Drosophila melanogaster: one gene and its partners. The protein of the gene in region 3 interacts with the protein of the main gene of each other region in a pairwise test. Each region holds a gene or a part of one and is shown on either strand. Other genes may lie near its edges.

What was found.
Region 1: the proteins of Odj (region 3) and Sp1 interact in a two-hybrid assay, tested with the Drosophila melanogaster proteins (one study listed by BioGRID).
Region 2: the proteins of Odj (region 3) and ssp interact in a two-hybrid assay, tested with the Drosophila melanogaster proteins (one study listed by BioGRID).

Annotation. Positions count from the first base shown.
Region 1 is NC_004354.4:9,727,598-9,732,703, reverse strand, and holds the start of Sp1 (Sp1), read right to left. Parts: upstream 3,057-5,106; 5' UTR 2,821-3,056; exon of another isoform or gene 2,405-2,820; 5' UTR 2,141-2,404; coding exon 2,027-2,140; intron 1-2,026.
Region 2 is NT_037436.4:12,116,476-12,120,358, reverse strand, and holds ssp (sunspot), read right to left. Parts: upstream 2,103-3,883; 5' UTR 2,045-2,102; coding exon 1,733-2,044; intron 1,672-1,732; coding exon 1,448-1,671; intron 1,388-1,447; coding exon 817-1,387; 3' UTR 570-816; downstream 1-569. Other genes in the region: CG11560 (uncharacterized protein), read right to left, coding at 1-277; vers (versatile), read right to left, coding at 2,510-2,922, 2,988-3,115, 3,189-3,595.
Region 3 is NT_033777.3:17,806,882-17,811,219, forward strand, and holds Odj (oddjob), read right to left. Parts: upstream 2,342-4,338; 5' UTR 2,237-2,341; coding exon 2,120-2,236; intron 2,066-2,119; coding exon 1,335-2,065; intron 1,275-1,334; coding exon 1,155-1,274; intron 1,098-1,154; coding exon 773-1,097; 3' UTR 526-772; downstream 1-525. Other genes in the region: CG17801 (uncharacterized protein), read right to left, coding at 1-8, 66-188; Alg1 (ALG1, chitobiosyldiphosphodolichol beta-mannosyltransferase), read right to left, coding at 2,699-2,918, 2,977-3,537, 3,599-4,158.

The DNA of each region.
Region 1 (5,106 bases), on a different chromosome or scaffold from region 3:
GTCTGCACTTTGGTTCGACAAAAAAAAAAAAGGTGAAAAAATCGGAGAAAAATGAACGTTGGAAAGGAGGGAGGGGGGAGGGGCAGGTGGTGGCCAGGGGCAGCAGATTGAAAGTGCCTCAATCACATTGCGTCCATTTGGCGTTGCTGACTCTATTAAAAGTGTCATGCGATTCGGGCTAATCCTTCAGAACAGAGATAGTATATCTAAAGTACAATCAACCCTAATTTATTTATTTAATTATTCGTTTGGCTAAACTTTTAAAGTATACACTTTAGAACACACTATATTCTTCTTTAAATACTTTACAAACCCTGATTCTGATTTTAATGACTTCTAGCATTGACATCAAAGTTTTCATTTGGGGAATTTAACAAATTATTTTTAGCCAACTGATCTAGCCGCTGACCTTTTGCTGTGAATTACAGGGTTTTGAACCAATATCATATGATGTGGGCCAGCACGATGGACTTGCATAATCAGCTAACTGAAATTCGAATTGAAATCGAGAGCAAAAGCCCGGAGGAGCCGTACAAAAACGATCATTAGCGGAAATCTGTCTTAGTTTTTCGGTCCAGATCAAAGGCCGGACGAGATTGATGAGCGAATTTTGGATCGGGGCCAAAAGATCATTATGAACGGCTGCCTGATGCGTTTTAGCCTTTAAGTGTTTGCTTCCGCTGTGCGATAAGCGATACGAGTCGAAAAGTCAGCGTGGAAATACGATCTCTACAGATTTGCCAAAACCCCAAATGAAACAAAAAAAAAAAACAACAAAAAAAGATTTTAAGTAGACCCAGGAATGATTCCATCGTTAGCTTCACACCTCAAGTGAGCCTGAATAATTGATTTTGAGAGCGAGAAACGAGAAACGGCAAACGGCGCCTACCTGGTACCTCAGTATCTCAGCCTATCAATAGTATCTGTATCTGCAGCTATGTATCTGCGGCGCATACCGTGAAATCCGTTGGCACACAGAAAACAGTGAAAAAATCCGGGGCTGAACAAGCCGCGTCCAATCGATTTGTATCCCGTTCCCCGGCATTAGATACTACCAAACAATCCCGATGAGTTCCAATCATCATCGCCTCACAAAAGGAATCCAGCTGAGCGGCTGACAAAAGGTGTGCGCTACTGTGAATTCCTCGGATGCGAAATCGTATCCGTAACTGAATACAAATCGAAATCCGCGGCGTCTGTTGTCATTGTTTGTTTATGGCTGTTTATTGTCAATGCTAATGCCGTGTAAGTGGCTGATTTGTCCGATTACTGTACGTATGTACATATATTTTATAAGCGACAATTGGTAAGGATTTGGCAGCCGCAACTGTGAGATACAGAAATACTTGCCGTAAAGTAACTTCTTGACTTCTCTGCGCGAATGATTTATGTCGAAGTGCACGAGTGTCTGCGGGAGGCATTCATCAAATCATGACTAAGTCAGCAAATGCCTGCCAGTCACTTGTGCGCAGTGAGCCCACATATGTATCTATGAGATACTTTCGGGCTAAACTCTGCAGCGATAACTATGAAATGTTTAGCGAAGCGAATAGTGGGTGTAATAAATTGCTCTTAGTACATTGGCATTTTTCGTTTTTGGGTGCAAAAAACACTAGTTTTTCTAGAACAGTTGATTAAGACCCAATTATGCTTGTAATTCTGTATATTACAAATATTAACTTTCTGACATGACAATTGTATCTAAAGTAATGGTCACCATAATTGGCATAATTTTATAATTTCTTATACAGATTGATACATTTGTATCTCTACACCCTGTAATTGTATCTGTATAATAGAATCTACTACTTTTGGGCTATGCTGTCGATAGTTTTCTATTCGATGGATGGCAATTGTGTGTAAAGTGACGGTAAGTGTGCATAATTGAGGCCCAGTGTTAAAAGAAAGATACACTTCGATAAGAACGCTCTGACCAAATCGTATCTGTAGTGACCTATCTTGCAGATACATATCTCGAGGTGCGGTTTTGGTATCTTCGGATTTGGGATTTGAGATTTCGGCTTACCGGATTAACTTGTGGCTTCTGCAAGTGTGTGGCGATATTGCTGATGTTCATGCCCATGGCCGGAATCTGGGATCCGTAGAGCTGACCGGCGGTCGGTGTCATGTCCGTTAACATGGTTGCTGTGGATGTTCCTGCTGCGTCTCCTGCTGCTGCTGATGTTGCTGCTGCTGCAGTGGCAGTGGCAGTTGTCGTTGCTGCTGCGGCTGCTGCTGCTGCTGCTGATGTCAATTTGAGGCGCACAATGATGCTGTCTGTTTTGCTTCTGCTTTGTTTTGCGGCCACTTGGGTTTAGGGTTCGATTTTCTATTCTTTTCTTCTTGCTCAACTCAACTACTTTTTTCTTTGTTGCGACTATTGTTGCAGGCCAGGCTCACTGATCTTGGAGAGTAAGGGAAAAAAGATGTAAAGGACATGGACAAATGGATTGGCAAGCACAGCACAGCACAGCACAGCACAGCACAAGCACACACGCACTCAGAAAAAAAGCAAAGTGGGCTAAATCGCTTGAGAGCAGATTATGGCCCAGCTAATAGCCCAGATATGTATAATCCGTATCTGTATCTGTATCTTTTCTCGAGTCCGTCGGCGTTGCACTTTTCTTCACTCGGCCGTCGGCTGATGTTTGCTGCTGAGAGTTGCAATGTTTGACTGCTCTTATTGTCACTGGGATTTTGTGCCTATATATGGGCTTAATTTTTTTTTTATTTTTTTTATTCTTTATAGACTTCTTTTCTAAGGAACACAGGCAAAAAAAAAATGAAATATAAGCGATGGAAATTAAAGGAAACTCGAACCAAAAATGCACACAGTTGTTTTGTTTAGCTTGGCTGCTTGTTGGCTTGTTTATGTTTGTTTGTTTGCTTGTTGGTTTATTGTTTATTTATTTGCTTGTTTGTTTTTATGTTTATTTGTTTATTTATTTGTTTGTTTGGTGACAGGAGGCGCCTGCCAACGAAAAAAAAGTGTCGCTGCTGTATCCGCGCCAAAAGTAACGCCGTCGTCGCTGATCGTTCAAAGGCTTGCAACTGTTTCACGCGAACAAAAAGCTTGTCTAAATGTCGCCGCTGCCACCAACGCTGCCACAGTCGCTGCCGCTGCCGGCGTAGCTGCCGCAGCGGTGCGAGTGAGATAGCACACAGTCGTAAATTCACTCCAACTAACCAAAATTCAACGTGGGGGCCAACGATGCCATCAGTGCAAGCGAGACGCTCGTACAGACAATCCAAAAACAACAGCAACAACAAAATATAAAACAACACACACCACTCTCTAGAGTGGTGCGAATGGGTGCCAGGGGTAAAGATATATATATATATATATATATGCATTCGTGTATTCGTATTTTGGTGGTGTGTGCGCCTTTCCCTTCCAGTTTCATTCATAAAAACCCCGGCTGCTTTGGGTAAAACCAGTTCCCAGAGCACAGCCCCCTCTATATGAACGCTTTGGCCAATGGCAGATCGGACGGGCCTAACCTATAATTAGAGCGATGGCCGCTGTGCGAGCGAGATGGCACGCACACGGACACGTGCCCCTCGTGCCGTCTCTTTCGACAGTCCTGCGGCCCTCTCTTTCATCGCGTGCCTGCGTTAAAAACTGAAAACAAATGCACACACGGCAACAACTACTATTGCGTTCAATTAAATGTTCGCCAATGTTGTTTTCCCAGAACTGGATAGCTGAAAATCGTAGGAAAAACAAAAGGGTATACGAAATATATGTATGAGAATAGAAATGAAAATCCACGCAAGATGACAAATTGTTTTCCATTTCGACTTTTCGTTACTATCGGTCGCAGCGAAAGGGAGTTTTGCGGGGAAATGGTCGTGTTTTTACCTCGAAAACGACTAAATTAAAGAAAAGGAAATTTGGAAAAGACCAGCGAAACTTAGATTGCAACAGCTTTGCCCCCAAAAGTAGACTAACTCTGGAAATTGCGACTTTAAATGGTCTTAGCTTGAGCAAAATAAATCCAGGTGTGGTTTTATCACAGCGTTTAGAAATGGAAAATATTGCTAAATATATATAGATAGTTAAGAATGTTCGAAAATCATAACAAATACTTGGAAGATTTCACCGGATGTAAGGCTGCAGAAAAGGGTTTAACAATTGGAATTTATCTGACACATTTGAAAATTCTGTTTCAGAAAATTCACGAAATTCAAAGTATTTGTAAGATTACATAGCATGTTATTTTAGTAATATTTTAGGAAAACTAAAAACAATGTACATATGTACTTAGACTCTGATTTGGAAGATCCCGAGAAGTCGTGATTATTCGGAACCCAATCCAGATTAACCCGTGCCAGTTGGGCCTCCCACAGCTGGAAGCTGCCGGTCGAGCTGTTGCATTTCAGGGCTGCAGCTGAGAAGCGGGCTAATTGAACCACACCCCCTGTACCGCCCCGCCTCTCGCCGCCCCACCCCTCCGGCCTTTCTATGCAAACAAAACGCCCAGGCAGCCGAAAAACGCCAGCCCCTGTGAGAAAAGCTGAAAAGTCCAAAAACCAGCAACGGACTGTCGATGGAGGTGGATGATGTGGCAGTAGAGATGTGGAAGTGTGCCCAGCACAAGTTGCCTGGCCGCGGGAAATTCTCTGCACAGCGGGAAAATTGAGGAAAAGTGGGCCTTGTGCCAATCAGTATGCACGTATCGAGCATAATAACTTGATAATGAAATCAATTTTAAAGATAACCAACACCTATTATTAGTTTTAATTTTCAATATGATTATAAATAAAAGATAAATAAAAATACAAGAAATATTTGACTTTAACTTTTCCGGTGTTTTAAGCGATAACTATTGCTTTCCAATTCCTGTTTCTTACAGTGACCTGTAGTGCTGCCCAACTTCGAATCACGACCGTGCTGCAGGACAAATGCAACACATTAAGTGGTGGCGTTGGGTGGGTGGGTGTTTCGGCGGAGTGGGTGGGTCGAAGGGGTGTGCCCAAAGTCGCAGGCAAGGCCAAGCCACTTCCTGACTCCTCATGGCCATGGAATTGCGGTTGGACCTCATCAGCTGGGCAAACTGATAACGCTGACTGATTGCACGACGGCATTCCCGCTTTTCCCCACTA
Region 2 (3,883 bases), on a different chromosome or scaffold from region 3:
CGTGGCACTTGTGGATGCGCAGATTGGAGGTGGTGCCGCCGGTGCTCTGCATCACACGCTTGCAGCCCATGCAGAAGTATCGCCATTTCAACTTGGTGCCGTCCGGACGAGCGATTTCCCGGTAGACGTTCCAAACGGAACTGCGCTTGTTCTTCTTCACCAGCCGATATTCACCGGAGTTGATCTTCATAAGGATGTCCAGCTGCGCCTCCATGCACTTCTCCTCCTCGGGGGCGTGTATGAAAAACATATTTCGCCTCGCAATCCTTATGGTCATAGTAAAAAAAATTAAAAACACAGAGCTCCGAACCAGGTGGCATCACCGGTGAGTTGGTTGCGATGTTCGATTACAATCGATATCGACATTCTATGTAATACCATGTATCGAATTTAATTTAATAGGAAAAGAAAAAATATTAACCACACAATTAAAAAAATAAAATACATATAATGTCATCTACAACAAATATTCTAAAACCAATCAAATTAATAGTTATTTCACTACTTTTCGTTTCAAATTTCAGATATACATGGTTTATATATAAATAAATTATATAAACGGCGAAGATATTACGACTTCATTTTATTAAATCTTAAACATATCTGCTGAATTGTAATAAAACGCAATGAATCACAAATCATTTTATACTTATTCGTATTTGAAATAAAAAATTGAGTGACTGCCGAAATGAGATATTTAAACTTTCTGTTACATGATTTTTTTAAAAATTCGTTGAATGTGATGCCTTTTAAGTTTACGTTAATAACGGTGGAAATGAACTTTATTGTGCAATCACTCAAATCGCGAACAGGTATTTATGCATGTGCGCCGCCTTTGGGATTAGATAGAAGATCCATGAAGTCCTTATGAAACGACGACATCTCTCGCACGAAAAATTTCATCAGTTTGCATTTTTTCCTCTCTATGACCAGCTTTTCCTCCTCTATTTCCATAATTCTGGCAGCTCTTTGACGCTTAGCAATTTTCATGTCCTCGGTCTTGGAATTCTGTTGATCGAGCTCGTCTTCATAGTTTTCCTGGGAATGAACTGTGGACGACTCTTCGATTTCCCTGATTATGTTATCCTTCAGAATACGCAGTTCATCCACGTCTTCTTGTGCTTCATCCGCATATTCGTTCATATCGAAGCTATCCCCTTCTCCAGGGTGTACTTTTTGGGACCTTAAGTAGTTCCTATCTATCAATGGTTCGTCAAGTTGACTGCCAAATGAATTGTGTTCGCTGGTCGTATTGGGTGCACTTCCAGACTTATCCAGAGGCATATTGTCAATTATGTTACGATCGGAACTAAATATCATCTTCATGGTCTCGAAGTATTCCCACTGGGATTTGTGTCCAGTTGTCTTTTCCATGTGCGATTCTCGCCTGAAATAAATTGTAATATTAGATAAGGAATATGCTTAAATAAGTATATTCACTTATTACCGATACTGTTGGCCCATGTCATCAATTTTGTTCTTTATCTCCGTGAACGTGAAACCCAGTGACTTCATCTCGCCCGTCATTTTCCAGATAACCTGGACCCGCTTGCGTGAGTCTCGCAAATCGACGCAGTGCCTTGCCCAAAGCTCGAGCAGCAGTTCGACCGCGTGGAATGACCACTCGGACGGCTGAAAGGAGTTCCAGCTCAGGCGGCGCTCCAACGAATCCTGCAAGTGAGACATGGTAATTTGGACTACTATTGACTTCTAATGGCGTCGTTGTACGTACGTCTAGTTTAGGGGGATGGATTTCCGCGATCCCCTCCTCGCACAGTTCCTCGGTACGCAGGTAGTCCACATGGCACTTGTGGGTGCGCAGATTGGACGTGTTGAAGGATCGCATGACGCGCTTGCAGCCCGTGCAGAAGTAGAGTCCATTGATTATGGCACCATCGGTGCGCACGATTTCCCGATACACCTTCCACACGGAGCCGCGCTGCTTGCGTCGTAGTAGCCGGTACTCGCCGCGGAGCACCTTCGCCGAGATCACCTGGTTGGATTCGAATTTTGATACGTCCTGCATCGTGCGGGCCTCAATCATGTCGTCCTTACGCTCGAAAAGTATAAACAAAATGTGCCTAGAGATGGGCAGCAGCTCGATATCGATTTTTCTAGAAATGGTCGGTATTGGCTTCATATATCTATCGATAGTTCTATGATATCGATTTAAATTATATCTAAAATACAAATAAAAAAACATTTTACGAATTGAGAAACTAAATGTAACAAATACGATTTAAAACAAATTTATAATATTAAAGTAAAGTAAGTAATTAAAGTTTTGCTAAAAAAAGTAAAATATAATTTCATTGCATTTATTTTTACTTAAGAAACTAATTTGTAAGATCATAACAATGCAAAATCTAGCTTTTTACAATATATATATATATATTTAGATTAATTTGAAGTTGAAGCAATATTACATTAAATATTCACTGTTTTAGTTGTATATTTTGCTGAAAAAGTAACACCACGCTACTTCTACGTATAACACTTAATATTTACACTACTGATTGTTATGCTTAAGCAAATAAACAATATCTTTGTGAAATGCGTTTAGCTCCAGCAGTGCATCCTTCATAACCTGCAGCTTTTCTCGCTCGATCGCCAGTTTTTCCTCCTCTATTTCAAGGAGTCTGTCCGAATGGTTGTTCGATGCTTTCCGTTTTGTCTGACATTTTGAAATTGGCGATGGGGAGAGATCCTTCATGTGGTCATCATCCTCCTCCTCCTCCTCCTCCTCCTCGTCTTCTTCCGGGATTTCCGGAATACTGGGAGAGGGAGTTCGCGTTCTTTTCATGGCTTTGCTAGCAACCATATCACTTTCGAATACGTTCCCATCGTCCCCGGCCATAGGCTCGTCTTTTAATGAAGACAATTCCTCAGGCTCATAATCCTCATCGCTGAACAAAGCTTGAGCTGTAAAATTAGCGTATTTTTAAGACATAATGACATAACTAGCATTTATTGCACTACGACTTTACCTGGATTTTCGGCGGTAATATCTTCGAAGACATCAACTGATTTCGTGCCAATCAGAAGTGCTTGAAGCTTATGAAAGTGCTCCCACTTGGATGGCACTCCAGTTTCCCGAACTCTCTCAGCTTCTATTCTGTAAATACCAATATAAAAGTTAATATACTATAAAAATAAAAACTTTTGGTATGCAAAATATAAGAGCGCACCTATACTTTCGCGACAAATTGTCCATTTTGGTTTTAAGCTCCGTGTGGCTGGGCCCAAACTGACTCATCTCCCTAGCCATTTGCCGGTAGATGATCACATTCTTGGACTCTCCACGAAAATCCTTCAAATGCTGTGCCCACAGTTGCAGCAACATCTTCTCCGCATCCTTTTTCCAAACGTGTCGCTCCGTTTTCGTATAGTAGTCCTCAAACTTTTCCTCCTTGCCAACATTCTTGGGCAATGGCGAGATGCCATTGGCTCGGATCGCTGGCTCAACGACCATTTTCTGTGCAACGTTTATCTTGGCGGTTCGCTGTGGTCCCGTCGGTGATCCTTCATCGCTCAACAGGGCTTGGAGTGAGCTCTTCATGCGCGGTCCTGGCTTACGACGTTCTGGTGTTATATTCTAGAAGAGTTAGTTGGTTTAGAAGCATGGTTACTGAGTGATTAATTAGAATTTTAGTATGTTCGCTAGTGGTCCATGTTGGACTATGTAACTGAAGTGGACTTTCATACAGAAATTAGGTCAAATTTGATATCCTATCACATGTTTTAACGAATCTCGCTTTGTAGTGCCAAAACACATTATGAAAAGGTAAACAGGTCTATTGCCACCCATGTGGGATAGGTAAACAAGATATTTGGTGTGTGGCTGTACTCGGTAAAACCGGGTAAGTACCCCAACAACCCATGT
Region 3 (4,338 bases):
TGTTCTAACTGTAAATGGAGTAAATGGGTTATGCCATTCACGCACACAAGAAACCATCAACATACCCATATTCCAGTGAGATCCTTGATCTTGGCCAGAACTTCCAGGCAAAAAATTATCGTGGGATTCAGGTGACAGAAACACGAGGCGCACAAATGGCATTGCGAAGGCTTTTTCATTTCAAACATATGATCATTTATCCCGCTGAATTCCCAAAACAATCAGCTGTAGTTTAATTGATTTTATGTTGTCAATTATGGAATAAAAACGGTAAAAGAGCGTACGCAATCCGAGAATTTCTGTTTACTCTCTCTAAGCAGCAAAATTTGTATGAATTACCTGTTTCATGGCGTTACCAGATAGGTGTGGAAAAACTAACTGTTCTTATTTCCTAGAAACCAGGGAACATCGAGCTAGTTTTTATAATTTAAAATTTATATATTATAAACGGGAGGTTAAATTTTCCCAAAAAGAGAGGTTCAAGCTAAAACACACGTTCGGCTAATTCCTGACGTTTTTGAAATTGGTTCCATATAATTTTTATTAAAATAAGCGCGCTGTGCAATTAGAATAAAATATATTTTATAACAAATTGTAATCTAAGACCGACGTTGAATTCCTTCCACACTGGTGCTAATCGTACGGCTGGCTGGTGATTCAAAGGATTTCTCTGAACCACCGAAAAAGTCAGATAGTTTGCATCCCTGGCATTGTGGCGTGTGGAGTGTGGAGTGTGTGGCGCCAACAGTCGATTTTTTTTGTGTGCTTAAAGTTAGGTGTACAGCTCCTCTCCATCGGGAATGGCTTCCTCGTACTCGAAGTCCTCAAAATTTGCGTCCTCATCCTGAAGTACCTCGTGGTCCTCATATTGTTCCTCGTCAATGTTATCTAACATTACGTCCAGTTCAGCCTGGTTGTCCTCCATTTCTGCCTGCCCCTCTTCCATATATCCCGGAAACTCCGCCGGATCGACTTCAGACTGGAATTCCTCTTTTGGACCATTAACCAGCAAGTTGACCCGCTTGCGGTGATACTTTGTGGAGTAGTGCCGATGCAAAAACTGCGCCTCCTTGAACTCCTTGTTGCATGTGAGGCAGCTGTGAAAGAATATGAGTTTGTACATCTATGGCTACGTATATTTCAATGATTCTTACATATGGACATCCGGTTGGTCACTCTTGTGCCCCTCCTCGTGCTTCAGCCGTCCCTTCTCGCTGTTGAATCGTTTGCCGCATATTTTGCACGGGTGCACCAGCTCGTTGGCATGCATTTGACTGTCAAGGTTTTTATGGTTTATATAGATAAGGACTTGTGATGATTAGGCCAGCACTCACCGTTCATGACGACAGCGGCTGGGACTATTGGCGAATCCCATACCGCAGAACTTGCAGACGTACGGTTTCTCGCCCTTGTGATGGACTCGAATGTGCAATCGGAGCAGTGGCATGGTGTAGAACTTGCGACCGCACTCGTCGCATGAAAACTTCTCCTCGAAGTGCCGCAGCTTGTGATCCTTCATGTTGCTGTGATCGTTGAACGACCAACCGCACTGGTCGCACACGTATCGCTTTATCGAGCGATCGACCTTGGGTTTTGGTCGCCGCTTTCTGGGCTTTCGGACGTGCTCCCGCGGAGGTGGCGGTGGACTATCTGCCTTCTCGACCACAGGCACACGAAGCCGCTTGACCCTGACTCGTGGGGACTGTCTGTTCGGGAAATTTTGGTCCTCGATCCGGATTTTTTTGGCCGGAGGATATCTTAAAATCGGCTTTTCGTCCTCCAAGAAATCCTTATCATCATCCATTAAATCCTTATCATCGTCCAGTAGCTCCTTATCGTCCTCGGTGTCTACTGTATCATCCAGCACCTCCCGTTTCAGCAGCGGATCACTAAGCACTGGCGAAACCTCCGGGGAGCCTTTTGAGGCGACACCCGCCTTCGAGGAGATCCTCTGGTGGAGATTTGCGTGCGTCTCCAGGCATCGCTGCCTGAAGGCTACGGCTTGGGTCAGGTCCAGGAGACAACAAGCGCATATGTGCTGGGGCAGCATATTCTCTAAAACGATCTGGAAATGCATAGATTATGAATAATTCCGGACAACAAATAAAAGGGACGCCACCTCTAAGCCCGTGATTTGCTCGATGGCCATCCGAATGCGATGATTGCGCTTCTCGAAGATGTTCTTTGGGTGCGGCGTGAAGATGCGCTCGCCGCAGATCCGACACTCGGTGCTCATTCTTTCGAAACTAAATAAAATTGATTAATTTTAATTACAAATTATAGTAATTTTTGCGCAGCCGGTTTGGTTTTGAAGTGTGACCGTTGTCCGCAACTAGAGGTGTCAAACATTGATGTTTTTAAAATTTTCCGATATATCGATGTTTATTTCAGACTATCGATATTGGTGTTCAAATAAAAAAAAATCGGCACTGCATCCCGTGAATTTTCTTTTTTAATTGAAATACATAATACTCCTAAGAAAACACGCTTTACAAGCGAATAAATAGTTGTATATATCTCCTTTTTTTAGCAATTTATTTTTATCTTTAGGCTACGATTATAAAAATAAAATAAGCATCATAAGCAAGTTTGAAGCTCTTTTGTGTACAGAATTTGTAGTAACTAGCCTAGAAAAAGCGATTAGCAATCAAAGGAAGTCTCTCATAACGTGTAATTGTCAAATCTTTGTCAAAATGCTCTATAGAAATGCCTCCAGTACGGGGGCCGCGATCAGGCGCCAACTCTCCCGCCATCGCAGCTCCTGGAACTCCTGGATTTTGCGCTGAAAACCAGCTCTTGTCTCCAGGATGCTGGGATTCTTTGGAAAATTTTCGAACCAAATCCTCAGCTGCTCGGCCAGCTGAACATGGTCGCCAAACACGAAGCCATTCTCGCCGTGCTTCACCAGCTCATCCAGGCTAAAGAGCCATTTGTAGAAGTTAGTAAGTAATAATAGTAAATGGCAGGATTAGTTACCACTTGAAATCGTAGGCGCAGACAGGCAGCCCGCTGCCGAACATGTCGACCACCTTCATGGGCAGGTCGAGCCCACTGGTGCTCCAGTGCAGACACACGCCCAGGTCGGCGCTGGCCAGAACAGTGGGGTAGTCCTCGATCTCTAGCCAGGGCGTGATCACCGACACCTTCTGCCATTGCAGCTTCTCGATCTCCGCCACATAGTGCTCCTTTTGTGGCCCCTTTCCGGTGATGATACACAGCAGGGAAGGATAAACCAACGGCTCTGCTTGCGCAGTCTCCTCGTAAGCTTGCAAAGCCTTAAGCAGTATACCGAAGTCCTCGTCCGGCGTCCAACTGGTGCTGGAAACCAGCACGGCTTGTCGCTGTGGTCTGTACTGCACAACACCGCTGGCCAGCTTTTGGGTAAGAGCGGTGGCCTCCAGAACATCGGATTGTTCGGCGTCCTTGGCCTGGAACTGTGGGTAGTCTTTGGCCAGCTTCAGGTACAGCTCGTGCTTGTGAGTCAAGTCGATGGGATGGAATTGCGCGGGCGCACGATCATACAGAACTTTGACAGGCCTGAAAGATGAGTCGCGGCTGAGTTATTTACTTCGTTTAGATGGATGTGATGAGGACTTACCCAATGCCCCAGTTTTGCTGCAGATCCTCTTGCATGGCCCGCGTCACACAGAAGTGTGTGTGTGCCTTGGAGCCGAAGTATCGCTCCAGTCGCCTAACCAATCGTATTAGAGGACTCTGCTCTCCCTTCGACATTCCCAATGCCAGCACTGTGTACGTGTAGTTGTGCCAATCGATGGCCAGCTTGGTTCGTGTGACCGCACAGTACAGATAGCACACAATCAGCGTGGGAATGCCGGGCGGATTCTGGACGAGTAGGAAGCTGGGACGGCCAATGGAGATGAGAGCCATCAGCAGACTGAGCGTCTGCCAAAAGGCCTTGAAGAGCAGGCGCAGTTTGGGTGTTAGGTTCGTCACTGGGACGGCAGTTAGCTCGTGGATTCGGCAACGTGGATGTTGAGTCAGTTCCTCCAGCGGCCTCGTCTCCAGATACCCAATCATGTCCACGTGGTAGTTCTCCTCGAGAAGACTCTGGGCATGGTACTGCATGCGCGGACTGCGTCCAATGTCGCCCAGCACGATGACGCAGGCGTTGCGCTTCTTGGGCAGCACTTCCGCCATCGCTGGGCAAGAAAAATAAGCGCTTTATCTGCGATCAAAGGGAATTGCGCGTTTTGTTTGTGATTCGGTTGAATCCTGTGGAATAGTGGGACCGTACTCAGCCGCTGCAAAATGCCTCGGAACTCTGCTATTATGGCGCTATGTTAGGGTGGTTCATTTCAACATTTATTTACTACCTGT